Linked DNA regions of Schizosaccharomyces pombe. The protein of the gene in region 2 interacts with the protein of the main gene of each other region in a pairwise test. Each region holds a gene or a part of one and is shown on either strand. Other genes may lie near its edges.

Region 1 (4,406 bases), on a different chromosome or scaffold from region 2:
ACAGATTCTCTACGTAAGACCGGATGTATATTCAACTCTTCTAACATCATTTCTGTTATTTCCTCCTCATCACTATAAACACCTGAGCCATTATCACGAAGCAAACTCTGGTAATCCCTACTAGCAGCTATAGACTCCCCATCATTATACCGATTAAGATTGTATTCCGACTGTAGATAGTCCATGCTAAATTGGCTTACGCTGGCATCCGAAGAGGGCCTTAAAGTTTGATGATGAAAGCTTGAGACACTAGACGGAATGCTAGTTCCTAACCCAGGGCCATCGAAAATACTATCATGGCTCATCAATGATGATGCCAAATACGAATTTAACGAATTTTTTGAAGCAATTGAGGATGTTGACCTCTTGCTTCTTATCATCTTCGGAGATGCCATAATGATTTCTCCACTAAAAACCCCTTCAATCTCCCTAAATTATTGATTAAAACTAATTTACTATGAGATTGCAGGATGGTGGTAGTGAATAGGTAACCCATGAAGAGCGTTCGAAAATACTGAGCTACGGAATCACACATTACGAAGATTGCTACAACAAAAGGTGAGAACTTTACAATCATAAGTAAATAGAACAATAAGAAGTATTTGCTTTAATAGAAGTAATTTTTTTTATTGATCTGCTAAGGAAGTATTTTCTATAAATTAGAAGAAGGCTGCTCGTAAACATGTCTCTCGCGTTACCGAGAATACTTATTTCACTTGTCCCTTCAATGAAAACCATTTTCTAGGAATTTATATATTTCTTTTACGACTGAAAAACAAATTTATCATCTTTAATATCAATTTCGTAAACTTTATGCATCAATTATAATGTCTGCGACACGTAAACTTGAATAACATCCAGTTGCTTTTACTCCAAATCCAACTGGTTTGTGGCTGCGGGAGGACCAGAAAACAAGGAGCTCATAAGATTGGCTAGAATGTTTGGTTGATTGCTAACAGGGCGAATTCCAAAGTAGATTTCTTCAATCTTTGCTAAGGCCTGTAGTAAAAAAATTTGTTAGCAAAACACTTTAGAAATAAGAAAAAATGCTAATATGTAAATATATATATGAAAAAAAGAAACATTTTTCTTATAAATGTAACGTACAGCTTCCCAATCTTGCTTTTTAGGATACTTTTGTACCAATGAAAGATATGTCTCTTTATCTTTGCGATATGCCGTAAAAATAAGTAAATGTAAGAAATTCATCTGGGGATACTCTTTAAAAACAGGAAAATCTTTACCATCGAAACTCATGTTCTCAACATCAGGCGCATTCGATTTAGTAAAATGCTTGGTAAATGTCTCTAGTGAGTTCCAAGCAGAAATTAGGTTTTCTGCCAAAAGATAATTTAAAACAGGTCTTCCAGCAAACGTATCAGGACTGATCGAAGAATCCGACGTAAACCAATAGTACATTGTTTCACCATATGCGCGGGCGCTCTTTTCATTTCCGAGAACAAAGTGCTTCTCAGCGCTAGCGGGTTCTTTCCCTATATTATGTGTTAAAAGCAAAGCAGATTACGAAAAGTTCGTACATTTTACAAACATAGTAGCTACCGCAAAGTGAACGTCCTTGTCTCCTTGAGGACCGGCAGATTTGCTCCATCTATTCATCATTAGTAAGTAAAAAAAAAGACAGTATGTAGGATAAAAGGGCGAAGAATCGATCGTTATCATTCACGCCGTCCATATATAATCCATACAGATAAATAGGCACTTACTCTAAAAGCCTTTTAACGTATTGCTTCCTTGCACCTTCTTCGGCAGGAAAAAGTCCCAAAAGAGTCAAAGCTCGGGCTGTGAATTAGTATAATGAAGTTTAAAAATCAGAGTTAAAATTAGCTGATGTGACTAGCATACCTTTGTTGTCAAGAGAGGCAGCATATGAAGCTTTTTCATAAACATCTAGCATGTATATCGCTAGGTCTGCGGCACTTCCGGTTTGCTCGATTTCAAATAATGTTTTAGCGCCCGAATATAGCAATGCAACTGCATCGTCGTGTTTCTTAGCTTTCACCTGTCTTGCTCGGTTATTCATTGATCAATAACAAACAACCTACCTATTTACTAGAGTGCGAAGCATTTGGTGACCTTCATAGGGATCCTCTCGTAATCTAAATTGTCAATAATAATACCTTCATCAATATTCGTAATTCATTACCTTCCTTCGGCTCGCTTGATTTTTGCGTCCATATTGTTTATTATTTATAAAGAAAAATAAAAATAAGCGTAAAAAAACTGAGTAAACGTGAATTGCTATTTAACGCTTCTCGCACTAAGTGTTGTCTCAGGGAGCAAGTGGTCCTGCCCATCCCCGTATATACCTATTTTAGCGAAACTACCTACTACAGTTGAAATTGTGTATTTCATCTTTCAATGTATTTCAAAGGATGGATATAGATGTCTTGGAGTTTGTAGATAAGGTAAGAGAATACTGCTGAGTTGTAATTGATAAATTGGTAGATTGCTTCAATCGAATCTGCCGGTGACACCTTAGATCGGTTGCCCCAATTAATTAGCTTGGCGTGTGAAAAAGGACAAGAGACTCAAGTTTATGAACGGCTAAATGAATTGGCCAGCAAAAGCGCGATACGCGTTGAACAGCTCTCTGCTGAAAACAACCAGGTATGCTAGTCTCCTGTTTCCCTAAGGTATAATCTTACAATTATTAGGATTTTAGCAAATCGGTAAACCAGTTATCTGTAGTTCGGTCCGAACTTCGTAGTTTGCAATCTTTAATGGCCGACCTGAACACTGACATTCAAGCTAGCGGTCGTGATTTACAAAATATGGTGAGCAATTATATTAAGCGTGGCTCTTTCAACTTGAAGAAATTGAGCTTGATTAAATTCTTGAATTTTGATTACGCAGAAAACTAACAATTGTATCAGAAACAACAATTAAATTCTCTAAGCACATCCGAGAGATTTCTTACAAAATATCATAATTTAGTGAGGAGCTGTATGCAAGTGTTGCATCAGGTTCAGTACTCTCAAGAGTTATTGAGTAAAAAGCAGTATCTTCCTACACTCAGAATTTGCTCAGAAATAAGCGAAGTGCATTTAAAACGTTTAGATGGATTGGGGATGTATTCTACCATCCAACAATACATTGTCACTACCAAGGAAGCTATATGTAGCGCTGTTATGGAAGACCTGCATGAATGGCTTTTCAGCATTAGACAAAAACTACCTTTAGTTGGTAAATCATGCTCACAGCAAATTGATGAAGCCAGAAGACGATGGGCTAGGGAATACAAAGAGGATTTGGTTAACCTAAGCTCCAAAACCTCAATTTCCCTAGAACTATATTTGCTTGAAATGATGGATTGTATGTTTACGTTTTGTTTCTGTTTTGTTAACATTTTCAGTTTCTCCCTTAGATAACGAGATCGTCAAGATTAGCTTTGAACCTTTATATATATGCTTGCAAGTTCATTCTTATTTGGGCTTGCTCAGCTCTTTCCGTTCCTCATTTGAGCGAGATAGGAGACGCCAACAAGAGTTTTTAGCGCCTAAAAGTCTGACCACGCTAGACATGGCTGTTGTCAGCGAATGGTTAAATTCTATTGCTGGGTTTATGATAGTTGAGTACTACATATTACAGTGTATACCCAATTTTCGCTCTTACGAAGAAGTTCAAAACATTTGGACTATTATTTGTGAAAAGTTGGTCGAAACAATTTTAAGTGTTGCGTTTACAGAGCAAAGTACCACTACAATAATAAAACTGAAAAATCAAATTGTTTTGCTTATGCATACCATGGAGAGATTTGGGTTTTCCGTTGAAAGTTTGCGGAACTTATGTGTCGAGCTTATTGATGCTTTTGGTGGAGCCCTTATATTGAAGCATTCTGTGTTCTTTGAAGAGGCGTTTGAAAAGGATGTGTATGCTCCCATGATCGTTGAGACACAGGAGGAATATGACCATTATATAGCGCCCTATTGGAACTTCCCCTCTGAACCCTTCCCAAGAACAATGAGCTTTTCAAAGATGTGCCCACTATGTTGCACAACTCTTTCTAAATTTGTCCGTCATTTCTTCATGTTCTTAAATGATTCTGTCATATTGGCTACCGAAGTTAATGAAAAGGCACCACGATTCTATAGAAGGTTTATTCTTCGAAGCCTTGTTGATAGATTGAAGAGTTTATATCCAAAACTTGCACTTTCTCAAATGTCTCAACTTGTTAAAAACTTTTACGCATTTGAAGATCCTTTGTTACAAATAGAGAAAAGCCTCGTTTTAAATAAGCCTATACACCAGATTGGTGCGGAAGCCTCTTCTAGTAATAATGTTAAATCAACTGAATTACTTGAAGGTTTAGCGAATGCACGAAAGTCTGCACTTCACGAAATTTTTGTTAAAATAAATTTAAAAATCGACGACTTTCTCGGCTTGGC
Region 2 (3,496 bases):
AATACCAGAGGTTATATCTATTTATATTTATTCCTTTAAACCTCAGACCGATAATCGCTCGTTTGTAATTGGTATATTTTTTAAATTGAACAATACACAAAAGAATTTCGATAATTCATTTTAGCGTGAAACCAAAATACTAGTTTACGTATTCTGTCATTTAATAGATGAATGTTCGTACATCGATATTTAATAAGATTTATTAAAAATTAAATAGTTTAATAATGCAAACTATTATTTTACAAACGTAGATCCTTGTTCATTCATTACATATGAATGGTTTTATCCGCTCTCGAAAAGTAGAATCCAATTAGAAATATAAAATGAAGAGAATAAATCCTTTGAAAAGGACGGGCTAATTTTCAAATGCCTCAAATTATTGAGCGACTAATCGTTCTAAAAAAAGTTATGCTTGCCAGTATAAACTTTTGATATTCATTTTTTTATTTTTTATTTTTTTTGGTGATTAAAGTCATAAAAAAAGAGAAATGGACATGATCAGTCACCTTTTTTAAAAAAACAAAAATACGACCCCCTCAACTTTTAAGGCTAAATTTTACATATGAATGCAGTCTACATCCCAAAAAAAATAATAGCTAAACTTTTAACATTGTACTTTTGGGATAATTTTCAACCATTGACAAAATCAATATACAATTCTATATAACATGTTGAAGGAAATAAATTTAGCTTAAAATTATAATTATTATGCTTTTTTTATGAGGTATAGGGCGCAATTATGAAAGAAATACGGGCGCTTAAATACGAATTTTAAAGAAAAATGTTAACAATAAATAAATACAATTTGACTTTTCTATAGTACGGAATTCAAGAAAAAAAAAATGTCTGTTACATTATTTACTGACTATGCTCTTTCGATTTTTGTTTTAAATTAGATTTTACTTGCCGGCGTCTTGCATAAAAAGGGAAACATAAAAATCCCAGATATGCAAAACTGAGAAAGTATAGAGCGAATTACACAAAGAAAAGCTGTAATAGTTATAACTATAACTTTCATAATAAGTATGTAATGACACACTTCATTTTTTATAAGTGTCTGACGTCGAATACTTTCCTAATCAAAAAATAGGAGAAAAACTAATATAGGTAAATACCAACATGAAACAAGTCATTTAAGAAATATTCATTAGAAACATTTGAAGATTAACTTCAGAGACACTGTCGGCATCCACATAGTCATCTAGAAGTCTGGAGTTGACAAGAGGTTTGCCTTTGTACATCAAACGGATAGAGGAAGGTTGCGTAGATAACTGAGATGCTAAAACTTCTTTAAGCTCCAAAATTGTAGACTGTACATTTATTTCAGTAGATGCTTGTTGAATGGGAGGTCGGACAGTTTTCGCAACAACATGAACTAGATTTTTAGTTAAAAGTAGTTATTTAAGCAGAATTTACCTTTCTTTTCCTCGAACAAAGCTAAATTTCCTTGAAACTCGACCAGTGGAGCAGGAATAGTGATCTATAAAACTATTAGTTTCAATAGCATATTTGTGAAACAAGAATCATTATTACGCACCGAAATAGCAGTTTCATCTATTTTTTCAATTGGAATACTATCAGGGTGATTCCTAGGGGTCTTTGAAAGCTCTTCTAGAAACGATTTAACAATTTGTACCTCGCTCATGGTGATGGTGGAATGTCAAGTTTACTCAAGCTAATTATCAAGTGTCCTAAAACCACTAAAGAGAAAATCTCGAAACAAATATCATACAAAATGCCATTAGTTCCAACTTTGACAAACAACACATCAAATCTGACGTTCAGTTTTTGATAATTATGTTACAATGCTGCTAACCGACAAATTTAAGAGTCCAAATCCTTGATGTAATAGCGCTCAAGTTCAACATAAAGTATTCTATAACTTCGTCTATTTCATGCCTTAAGCTTTACAACCTCGCGAACGTAGTTTACTCAGAATTGTCAAAAAGAATAATAATTATGATTTTAAAAATTTACTGTTAAATAAATTATTAAAGTCATAAGAAATCTTTGCATTGTTAATAAAGTTGCTGTTGCAAATACTATCCATACAAGTTTCTGAAAGTTAAGAGTTTAGTAGTTTTTAAATATTGTTTCCCTAAATGTTTTGCTTATCATTATAGCAAACAATAAAGCTAAATAGTTTAATTGTTCATTTCATGCTTTCATCTTATTTCATAGGCACATAAAGTATCTTTGCGTTTTACTTCGATTTTTTAAAAGAGGTTGTATTCCTTCATGTTTTTAGATAAGATTGCTATGGAGCAGTTTTAGAAAAGATGCGTATATAAAGACAGACAGATTAGAACTTAAGCAAGTAAAGTGTGAAGTAGTTGTATACTAATTAGAAAGATGATATAACCAACCTTACTAGAGCCATAATCTTTAATCAGCCCTGAAATCGTCTTGTTCGAATCATTTGTTTTTTAAAAGGATTGATTATTATTGTTTATTTCTCCTTAATATTTATCAAAAACTCCAAATCGCTGTATAGGTAGCATGGTATACATATATTCACTCAACCTACATTTCTAATCAATCACGCTTACAATGGCTTCTCACAATTATGAGACGCCACTCAAGAGCTCTTCCTTTCAACATTTAGTTGGTACACTTTCTCAGCGACGGCATTTTACCCCCTCTAGAAGCAGGTATACTCCACGTTCTGCTCAACGGACTGTTACTCCTCATAAACGGAGAGCTCTTGCACGCAGGAATAGTCTAGCAAGGAGAAGGAGCAATGTGTTTTCCGCAACAACTCCTAGAGACATTCTCAGAATGCTCAGTCGTGCGCTGGCAAAAAATCCAGTACCATCACCAGCTGAATCAGAATCCTCCGAGCGACGACATACTCCACAAACTAATAGTCAAAAGTCTCAAAAGACACCAAGATTGTCTTCGAATAAGCGTCGGACTTTAAAAAATGATGCTAAACAAAGGAATTCCCAATCTCCAGGTACCGACACTAGCGATGCAAATCTGACGATACAATCCATCGAAGCTCCAAGGCGTGCTCCACAGCGCCTTAGCGACTTTTTTACACCAGATGGAAGGCGTGTCAGTAATATTCGTGATTCTCTAATCTCAGAAAAACGATTAGAAAATAATATTGACCAAGTTCAAGAAAGCGCGTTAAGTACCGCTTCTAGTAATCGACTCATAGATTTAAAAAATGACGAAGTTCCTATTTTTCGCATTCCTTTAAGTGATTATGAAACAGATGACATGGATGACGGTACACCTCTCCAACGCCATGTTGCGACCCTGAACCAATATCAAAGTCCCATTTTTAATTTAGGCCCGGACATTTTAGAAGATGAACCATCTTACTCTTCAAGAGCTTCCAGATCCCGTCAATCATCTCTCTCTTCTCGATTATCTGAGTTACCTTCTAAACGCGCCAGCCTTGAGATTTTAAGGCGCGAAAATACTTTCCCAGCCGATCCAATTCAGGAATTTGGTGAAAAAGCATACAATGAAAGAGAATTGATGGAAG

What was found.
Region 1: the proteins of SPOM_SPBC800.12C (region 2) and get4 interact in a two-hybrid assay, tested with the Schizosaccharomyces pombe proteins (one large-scale study listed by BioGRID).

What each region holds. Positions count from the first base shown.
Region 1 is NC_003421.2:589,459-593,864, forward strand, and holds get4 (protein Get4), read right to left. Parts: upstream 2,293-4,406; 5' UTR 2,197-2,292; coding exon 2,165-2,196; intron 2,118-2,164; coding exon 2,064-2,117; exon of another isoform or gene 2,025-2,063; coding exon 1,864-2,024; exon of another isoform or gene 1,801-1,863; coding exon 1,725-1,800; exon of another isoform or gene 1,610-1,724; coding exon 1,539-1,609; intron 1,494-1,538; coding exon 1,108-1,493; intron 1,043-1,107; exon of another isoform or gene 1,000-1,042; coding exon 868-999; 3' UTR 612-867; downstream 1-611. Other genes in the region: SPOM_SPCC1672.11C (P-type ATPase P5 type), read right to left, coding at 1-395; exocyst complex subunit Sec15, read left to right, coding at 2,394-2,426, 2,467-2,628, 2,676-2,795, 2,895-3,333, 3,374-4,406. UniProt on the Schizosaccharomyces pombe protein: May play a role in insertion of tail-anchored proteins into the endoplasmic reticulum membrane.
Region 2 is NC_003423.3:277,114-280,609, forward strand, and holds SPOM_SPBC800.12C (ubiquitin family protein), read right to left. Parts: upstream 1,663-3,496; 5' UTR 1,646-1,662; coding exon 1,538-1,645; exon of another isoform or gene 1,481-1,537; coding exon 1,417-1,480; exon of another isoform or gene 1,376-1,416; coding exon 1,134-1,375; 3' UTR 828-1,133; downstream 1-827. Other genes in the region: centromere receptor protein cnp20, read left to right, coding at 2,551-3,496.